2 linked regions of the Xenopus tropicalis genome follow. The protein of the gene in region 2 interacts with the protein of the main gene of each other region in a pairwise test. Links are inferred from orthologs where the notes say so. Each region holds a gene or a part of one and is shown on either strand. Other genes may lie near its edges.

Evidence for each region. The genes of interacting proteins can lie anywhere in the genome.
Region 1: the proteins of srrm4 (region 2) and zrsr2 interact in binary tests that used the Homo sapiens proteins (3 or more experiments, as listed by UniProt). The link is inferred for Xenopus tropicalis from reciprocal best matches to the Homo sapiens genes SRRM4 and ZRSR2.

Annotation. Positions count from the first base shown.
Region 1 is NC_030678.2:29,871,024-29,875,914, reverse strand, and holds the start of zrsr2 (U2 small nuclear ribonucleoprotein auxiliary factor 35 kDa subunit-related protein 2), read right to left. Parts: upstream 2,892-4,891; 5' UTR 2,756-2,891; coding exon 2,724-2,755; intron 1,051-2,723; coding exon 974-1,050; intron 78-973; coding exon 11-77; intron 1-10. UniProt on the Homo sapiens protein: Pre-mRNA-binding protein required for splicing of both U2- and U12-type introns. Selectively interacts with the 3'-splice site of U2- and U12-type pre-mRNAs and promotes different steps in U2 and U12 intron splicing.
Region 2 is NC_030677.2:165,782,593-165,787,383, reverse strand, and holds part of srrm4 (serine/arginine repetitive matrix protein 4), read right to left. Parts: intron 670-4,791; coding exon 359-669; intron 1-358. UniProt on the Homo sapiens protein: Splicing factor specifically required for neural cell differentiation.

The DNA of each region.
Region 1 (4,891 bases), on a different chromosome or scaffold from region 2:
TAGTGTGGACCTTTCAATCTCAAGCTGAGCTTCATCCTCTTCTTCTTCAGAACATGGTTCATCCTCATTATTATCATCTGAAAGTTAAAAACAGAATTTACAGTACTATTATGGGTTGAGTCTTAACTTAACATAAGGGACTGCACCTTCATTATTTATTTTCCCTGAGTATTTTGCAAATAAAATATTAAGACTAATGTCACACACAACATTTTCTCTCTGCTGGATACTACCCCCTGTCTGTAGGCAGTGACAGCGCAGGTCAGTTGGGCCCATTTGTAACCAAGCTGTTTAACATTTGCCTGTATGTTTTGGTTCAACCAGATTTCAACAGTTTTCAAAAATGAGTTTCAATTTATTAGACCAAAGCAAAACTGTACTCCAGTCCTTTGAAAAATTGTGCAGTATTTATGCCAAGGAACTAAAGCGATGTAAGAATGTCGGCAGTGGTAAGTACTGATGGTTTGGTGGAGGCTTGGCACACTTTTCTACACTGTATTATATAATACTGACATGTTCCTATTAATTTGCATAGGAGCGTGTGTCAGTTTCATTTGTTGATATCTACTTGCATATATGTAATCATGCCCGTCAGCTAATAAACAGGCCCTGTATATCTCCTCCGGCACATCAGCATGTCTGGCAACGCCTCTGCTGCTTCTTAAAAAGGTTTACCAAGCTGCCATGTAGATAACTAGTAACAGGGAAATGTATTGAGGTGGGGGGGGGGAAAGAAAAGCCTAATTAGTATCTGCTTTTAATACTGCATACAACAGAATTACATTTCTCAAACATATTATTTACGTATAACAAATTTTAAGCCCACTTTAATATTAATAAAGCACACCACAGAAATGGACTCAATGAAGGCAAATATTTAAATAACCACGCTTGCAAATGGCATGTAAAATGTGCTATTTACTTTCTTCCCATTTACACAGTTTGATTCTCCCTGTTTTTGTACACAACGTACCTTCTCTTAATTTTGCAAGGGCCTGTCTCTTTTTTCGACGCCTTTCTTTCTTGAGGAGCGCTCTGAGTCGTTTATGGCTAAAATATGAGGCATATTAGCAAACAGGTGATTAAGTTGAATGCTAAATTCATTATTATTATGTAATCAAAACATTAAATAACTGCGACACATATGACCGTGCTTTCTCTCGCTTACTGGTTACCCTAAAAACAAGCCTGCATGATACTTTCCACAGGTCAAAACGATTTCCCCTTCATGAGCTTCTACAAATAATCTTCAGCCTCACATTTTAGACCTTAAAGGCAACTTCACCAAAGCACGACCTAAGCTTTTTTACAAGTAAGCATAATTTCAAGCACCTTTGCAATATACATCAATTAAAAATGATGCAGAAAGAAGAACTGTTTTGCAGCTGGATTTCAGCAAATAAAAATGATATTTATTTATACTTTTTGAAGGAACAGATTACAGTTATAGGTGTATTATGGGTTTCTGCGTTGTGTGGTCCGGGAGCCAGAGTTCCCCTTTAATCTTTCTCTATAATACATGGGTCCTGCATGCAGATATTTTGGGCTTATGTAACAGAAACAAGTTTGTAGCTGCTGTTTGTAGCTGGCTGGTATTTAGTATGTAACGGACAAAGAAAACAATATAAACTACTAACCAGCTACAAGTAAAGACTACTAATGTTCTTGTTTTAAAATCCTTAGGGAGCAGTGCCAAGAGGTTTACAGTTTACTTCTACCTCCACTTGATGTAGCTGCATATAGGAGCAGATCCACTTGTTTTCTGGCGGACCATATGCCACGTGTGACTGTGCCCTTAGGGCTATAACACCCAGGCTATTTTGACTGCTTCTGCCGTCCCAGAGATAACAGCAGCGGTTAAAATACTACAGTGAGCAAAGGCTCATTGCACTATAGCACAATCTCCGCCATCTGTAGCATAGCCCCTGTGCCGCACATTCTGGCCCCAGTGATTGTACCTTTCCTTCTCCTTTAGGCTGGTGCCACACGTGGCGTTTTTCCGCTGTGTATTTTCTAATTCTCTCGGCGGCTGAAAAACGCCCGATATCATCATCCATAGAAACAGCTTGAAAAGACTCAAAGTGAACCACACAATGCGGAAATACGCTAGATAACGCCTTAGCACGGATTTTTCATGCGTTGGCTTTAATACGCCAGTATTTGCAAATCAAGCTATTCCTATGTATACACAAAGGCAGCTGCCAGACCTAGCGGAAATACGCAGCGTTTTTTGCTATTTCACACTATTAGCACCATGGAAACGGGATTTGCTGACATCACCAGTACTAGGCTAAAAACGCCATAGTCAGGGGCTGTGTGGCTTGTGCGGCGTTTTTAGGCCGAGAAAAAACGCAGTGGAAAAACGCCACATGTGGCATCAGCCTTAATGTAGGAAGCATGAGACGAGGGCAACTAAACTTTATAAATACTGGGCACATTTGCAACAGGGCAGTAACCCATAGCAACCATAGCTGCCAGCAAGCTGCAGGTAATACACTATGGAGGCATCTCACCGGTTGGCATGGGTTACTGCAAAGCTCAAACCTGCCCAGTTTATTTAAATAACCCCATTATTCTAGCACGGCAAGTCGCTTATCTGTTACTGACTACAGTTCCCAGCATCCCCCAATACACAGACAGCATGCAGTAGTACGTGAGAGAATTCTGTAACATACAACACTAACATATTCCAAGCGATAATAGTGCAACTACTCGCTGCTTACCCGCTCACTACATGCGGGTTACGCGATGTCATGTTGTCCCTCGAGTGAATGGGCAGCCTCCCAGCACCCCCATACAGCCCTGTCTCTCACACTACTGCCATTCCCAATTCTATTAGCGAGCGCCTCGCATCAGCGCGACCAACTTCCGGTGTCCCTCCGGTAGTGCGTCATTAGGGGGCGGGGCCTAGAAGTTGGTTTTGTTGGCGCTCGTCTGTCTTATCCTTTAGGAGAGTTCTTATAAATAAACCTCTTCAATTAAATGACTTGCTGACTAACTGCTTGTGTATTGTACAAGTGAGGGTTTGCTGGGGAGGTGTTGAGCCGTAACCTGTATGCAGCACGCCGGGGGGCACAGACAACTTTAGCAGCTTGTACAGCTGAGGGGTACATAGAGTGCCTTATGGTAGGGGAACGGCAAAGTGTATGGTCGTCTAAAAGCACATTAGTGAGTTGCAACAAAATGGAAGGCAGGAGCATATATACATAGGTCTGTGTATTATTATCTGTGTATAATACACCGCCCTTTTTATGGTTATAATGTTAGAGCTATAGTTCCCAAATCTCATGACATATATGGTGTCTAAATGAGATCCAGTGAGTGACAAGAGAGCTGGTTGTGGGCAATGGGTTATAAATATAAATTTTTGGCACAAAGTAAAACCAGCATCATATATTCTTAGTACAACAGTGCTGTCCAACTGGCGGCCTGCGGGCAGCATCTGGGCTGTGGCTCCCATGTGTCTGGCTGCTGTGACTGCTAACTTTTGTGTAAGCTTTAAATGGCATTAGTATTGAGATTGCCTGGCCAACCTGCATTCTTGTACACAAAAAAGATCGTTCCCCCACACCCAGGCTCTCCAAAAAAATTCAACGCCCGGTGCTCACTATTAACCCTTTTACTGCCAGCTGTTTTGGTCAAAGCGTAACTTTTTTTCAGAACAACCTAAGCTTTCAAAATATGGTAGAATTTTTGTGTAATTCCAATTCTGTAACAAGATATAGTAACATAGTAAGTTGGGTTGAAAAAAGACATACGTCCATCAAGTTCAACCATAATGCCTATACCTAACCTGCCTAACTACTAGTTGATCCAGAGGAAGGCAAAAAACCCCATCTGAAGCCTCTCTAATTTGCCACAGAGGGGAAAAAATTCCTTCCTGACTCCAAGATGGCAATCGGACCAGTCCCTGGATCAACTTGTACTAAGAGCTATCTCCCATAACCCTGTATTCCCTCACTTGTACTGAGAGCTATCTCCCATAACCCTGTATTCCCTCACTTGCTAAGAATCCATCCAGCCCCTTCTTAAAGCTATATAATGTATCAGCCAGCACGACTGATTCGGGGAGGGAATTCCACAACTTCACAGCTCTCACTGTAAAAAATCCTTTCCGAATGTTTAAATGGAACCTCCCTTCTTCTAAACGGAGTGGGTGCCCTCGTGTCCGTTGGAAGGACCTACTGGTAAATAAAACATTAGAAAGGTTATTATATGATCCCTTTATATATTTATACATAGTTATCATGTCACCTCTTAAGCTCCTCTTCTCCAGTGTAAACAGACCCAACTTGGCCAGTCTTTCTTTATAACTGAGACTTTCCATACCCTTTACCAGCTTAGTTGCCCTTCTCTGGAGCCTCTCTAACTCAGTAATGTCCCGTTTGAGCACTGGAGACCAAAACTGAACAGCATATTCTAGATGGGGCCTTACCAGCGCTCTGTAAAGGGGAAGAATAACCCCCTCCTCCCGTGAATCTATACCCCTTTTAATACAGCTCAAAACCTTGTTTGCCCTTGCAGCTGCTGCCTGGCATTGCTTGCTACAGCCAAGTTTATTATCTACAAGGACTCCAAGGTCCTTCTCCATTATGGATTTACCTAGTGCAGTCCCATTAAGGGTATACGGGGCTTGCATATTTTTACATCCCAGGTGCATGACCTTACATTTATCCACATTAAATCTCATCTGCCACTTAGCTGCCCAGATTGCCAGTTGGTCAAGATCCTGCTGCAGGGATGTCACATCCTGGATAGAATTGACTGGTCTGCAGAGTTTTGTGTCATCTGCAAACACTGAAACATTACTCATAATACCCTCCCCTAAGTCATTTATGAACAAATTAAACAAAAGTGGACCCAGTACAGAACCCTGAGGGACCCTACAGAA
Region 2 (4,791 bases):
CGGAAGTTTCCTCTCAAGGCAACTTCCATGATTTTGGGAAAATCGCAGCACCACATATGCCATCCCACTGACAATTCACATTCTCGCCGGTGAGATGGCATTTCGGGGAGATTAGTCGCCCGCAACAAGGGAGATTTGTCGCGGGCGACTAGTCTCCCCGTGTGCCAGAGCCCTTACCAATTGTCTCACCCCCTTTACCCACCCACATACAAATAAATAAAAATGTACATGATATCAGATGGTCATAAGACCATCTGATATCATGTACATTTTTATTTATTTGTTTTGTTATTTCATTTGTTTTATCTGTTAGATATGGTTTCCTAACCAGTTATTTTTGTTAATGCATTATCTTCACCTCTTCTGTTTCTGACTATCTCCCAAGAGAAGTGCTGTGTCCTTTATGAAAGAGAAGCAACTGGCCGATGAATTGCCTGAATCAGAGATATTGTCGCTCGGGCCATTTGGGGTTTTCCCAGAGGCGGAGGCATGCTGAAACCCGTGGTGGGGTAGGCTTTCTTTTTCTTGGCTGACCATCAGCCTTGAAGTGCTTATCTGCATTGAAGGAGGAGAGCATGTATCGTTCCCTGAGTCATACTCGTTTCCACCTTCCTTCCGACAAACCCCTCTCTCTGATGAGACCAAAAGGCCAGTAACTGATTGGGAAATCTGAAAAAACAAGAGAACGATGACACGTGCTGAACCCAAATCGCAAATGAAGATTGTAACTTAATAACCACTTTGCTTTCAGAAATTGGATAATGTAATATTCAAGAAATACTGTATATTTTTATTAACTTAAAATAAAACAAATAAAGGAAGAAAATGAAAGGAGCGGGCAGTGAAAAGAAAAACAAAAGAGAACAGAACAAAAAGTCTGCAGTGGCTTCTGCAGACATGAGATATCTGCAATGAAATTGTCACCATGCACAATATTTGCATGCACCCATAGAAAAAGAATGGAACAGCGAATAATGGAAAAAGAAAAGGTGCACAGTATCTTGAAATGTATGGGCCTTTCACTCTGATTGCACTGGCATTGCTACTGAGACACACACTGTATAAAAGTGCTGTTTCTTACTGTTTGTGGCAATCTACTATCATTAAGCACTGTGGGCACTTGAGGCTTAATAAACCTATATACAGAGAGAAAGCAACACTTTTTTTGTGACAGTGGAGACCTGACTTTCAGGTTTTTCTTTGACTTCAGAACAGGTGTTTACATAGACCTAGGCTTGACATTAAATAAAACAACACACCTATCAAAGCCATACGTGAATGTTAACGTACATAATAAACAGTATCAGATATGTCTGCTCTTGGTTCTCTATGAGGTAATCCTGCATTCCACACGTTTCACTTCATGTTGCCTATAGTAGTAAGCAGTCTCAGCAGTCGCACACATTTGGTTGTATTTATATTTACATTTGTTTGTATTACATAGATGTATGAGGAGCTATTCCCAACATTTAATAAAATTGGAATCCTACATGGATTAACACTCTAAAGAGAGTGTTTATCTTACTACTGTCTCTCCATTGAACAGCATTTACAGGGCAAGCATGAGCACAGCCCTGCATTTACGGCTTGGGCCACATATACACTATGTGAAGATACATGGTTCTGTTCCTCTATAGATGCTTTTCTCTAGTGTTGAACAATATCCATTTAAATCTTTTGAAGTCACATAAATCACAATTTAGGTCCTACTTCTCTATCCTTGAATATAAGTAAGTTGTATACAAAAGCACAGTTCAGGAATTCAGCTGGACTATTGCTACTGCACCTACTACTAACTAATTACCTTTCATTTGTAAATAATGGCTAGTCATTTCTTGCAAAGGGCAACTGAACAAAACTTTTTATGAAATATTGAGATTGTTCCCTGGCAGGAGTAATGATAAGCACCCTTCTGTGTGATGACTCCACTTTTCTGTTATTTTGCAAATAGATGTAACCAAAGTGTTGTGGGCCTCACAAGCTATGTCTACCTAGCATACTGCTACTGCTGCTATGTCTACCAACCACATCCTAAACTTCTAACATATATATGCCACTCATTTCCCAACAGACTTCACTTATTTATTAACATTCGGTTTTCTATATATTTTTTAAAACTACTAGTAAACTTATTTTCATGATTGCCAGTCATTTATCAAAAATTTTTCAAATTCTTTCACAAAAACCACAACTTTTTCGACTTGTTTCGCAAAAAACAAAACTTTTTCATATTGTTGCACTGATGCCAGTGTCAACAAACCCTGAAAACCTCTAAAACCATGAAGCAAAGAAGGATCTTCCAACTGTAAAAGGGGCAACTGCCATTGACTTCTACAACAATTGACTGAATTGTCACAGTTTTGTTGTATAATAAATTGCAACAAATGTGCTGTTTGTTCCATGACAAAAAACACAAACCAAAAAAAAAACAATAGTAAATGCCCCACATTAGATGGGAATACATAACAAGGCGTTAGGGCATCACATCATTTTGGCAGATTCCATTAATAAACCAATGGCCACTCACTACCAATATTCAATTGAAATACTGAATTTTACTTAGGTCACATCCATCCTAGTGATTAGTCTGAGTTACACCAAAGAAATTATGAAATGAAAGTGTGAATTCTTTTCCTAGAGGGTCCCCTCTCACATTAATCATTTCAAAGCAGAGTGAAAATGATGTCTGTAAATTTTTAAATTCAAAGATATACATAAGAATTTCACAATGACTAGCATACTGTAAGGCTTTACTAGTCCTAATGTAGGACTGTATATAGAAAAAAAGACATTTTCAAGGAATAAGGCTGTCATTGTTTTGATTTGCAAACAAATGGACTGCAAAAGAGACAGAATAGTAGGAAATGTGGATTCTCAGTGTGCAATTGACACATACAAACATTATTTCAATCCCCTGCTTTCCCCATTTCTGGCTGGGAGCTCTGATTGCATGCTGGGTAACAGGCTGTGGACACCTCCTTCCTATTGGCAGTGAAAGCATTTTTAATAAATATGATAATGAAGAAATCAAGGAAAACATCCGGCCAAAAGCCAACTGCTGGCATTGTAGTGGGAAAAACATCAGCAGACACATTGCAAGTCTATCTATACCCCATATTCATGCGTACTGAAATAGTTCAAATAATGGAACATTTTTAGGGTAAAAGTATTATTGTCAAATTGCCACCTGGACAGCAAACCTTTAAGTACAAATCCATCATGCTCACTAAATATAAACACAAAGACTAATGCATGGCCTCAAAGATAGCTACTTATATAAATTAGCAGAATGCATTGAAAACATGGAGAACAGGAATGTTGAGCTGCCACCCTATATACAAGCTCCTTCTGTTATTGTGCTTGCTGCTGCTGGAGTCTAATAGACAATGGGTACCAAGATATCAGCTTGCCACAATGATAACACTATGGGGCTTTATAAAGCAAAACCTTACGAAGCCTCTAGGTCAGATTTTTATGGCCTGATTTCCTGAACCCATGGACAATTTTAAATTAAATGAAGCCAAAACCATTGCAAAGAACAAAAGAGATAAGCAGAGTGTAAATCAGAGGAAAGAAAATTAAAGAGATAAAGCAAATCCCCATTAACTGGGGGTCAGGGAAGGACGGAAAGAAAAAAAAAAAAAGAGAGTAATATAAAGTATACAGATATTTTCCAGCTTTTTCTGACTTAGTAAATTCTCTATTAGGTTTTTAATTCCCCTGTAAGTCCAGATTTATTAGGTGCCTCGATCTAAGAAAACCCCTAACATCTGTCAGGAATCAGCGACTTACCAAGCGGGAACTCCTCCTTTAGTAGGTAAGGTGTAAGAAAAAGGTAACATAATTCCATCATTACATATAACAGGTCAGATAAAACAAACATACACTCTCCCTGATATCTGTAGTGGGATATGTACAAATAGTCATCTTTGAAGACTCATGTGACCCTAAGCCATCAACCAGCTGCTTGCTCTTGTGCAAAATACTCAGCGAGTCAAGCAGAACTGGATCTTTTCTCTAAAGGTTATGATCCAGGATTGCTCCATGGTATTACATTTGGGCTCTTATCATGCTCCATCACTGATTTGGATTCCGGGCCACTGGGCCAAGCTATGAACTTATAAGTGATGTTAATTTGCCTAGTGACATTTATTGCTTATTTCCAGTCATACCTTTTGTTTAAAATGGGATTGGCTACATTCTTCTGCTCTTTATAGGTGTTGCCAATCCTGAGCCCTTGACTGTACCATTACACAGCCAGCTATACTATCTGGGCTGTCAATTTCAGGCAAACATCTCACATTGCAAAAAAATTAATTAATTGTATGGTATATATATGAATGGCCAGTCAAAAATAGGGCCACAGTTAAAGGGATATAGCCCCTAGAACCAAAGGGCATATTAGGCATTCAATAAAAAAGAAAATATCCTGTAACTCAACAGTAAATATACATCTATACACATATATACAATATATATACAATATATATATATAGGCAGATACACCATGGGATCTGTATTTGTATTTACTTTTTAACATTAAGTTTTGAATACATTTATATTTTTATGGACTGGTTGAGTTATGGGATATTTTCTTTTTGAAAACAACGGTTTGGCAAAAGTGCTTAGGCCAATACTGCATTTCTGGAAAATACGATACTTTGCTTATTTAATTACTATTCAAAATCAGATTCCATTGATACTATGAAGGTGACAGTTGTTATTTCCTAGTATAGTGTGCAGCATACAGGTAGGGGGACTGTGAGAGGTTAGTGTGAATTAGAAAAGAAG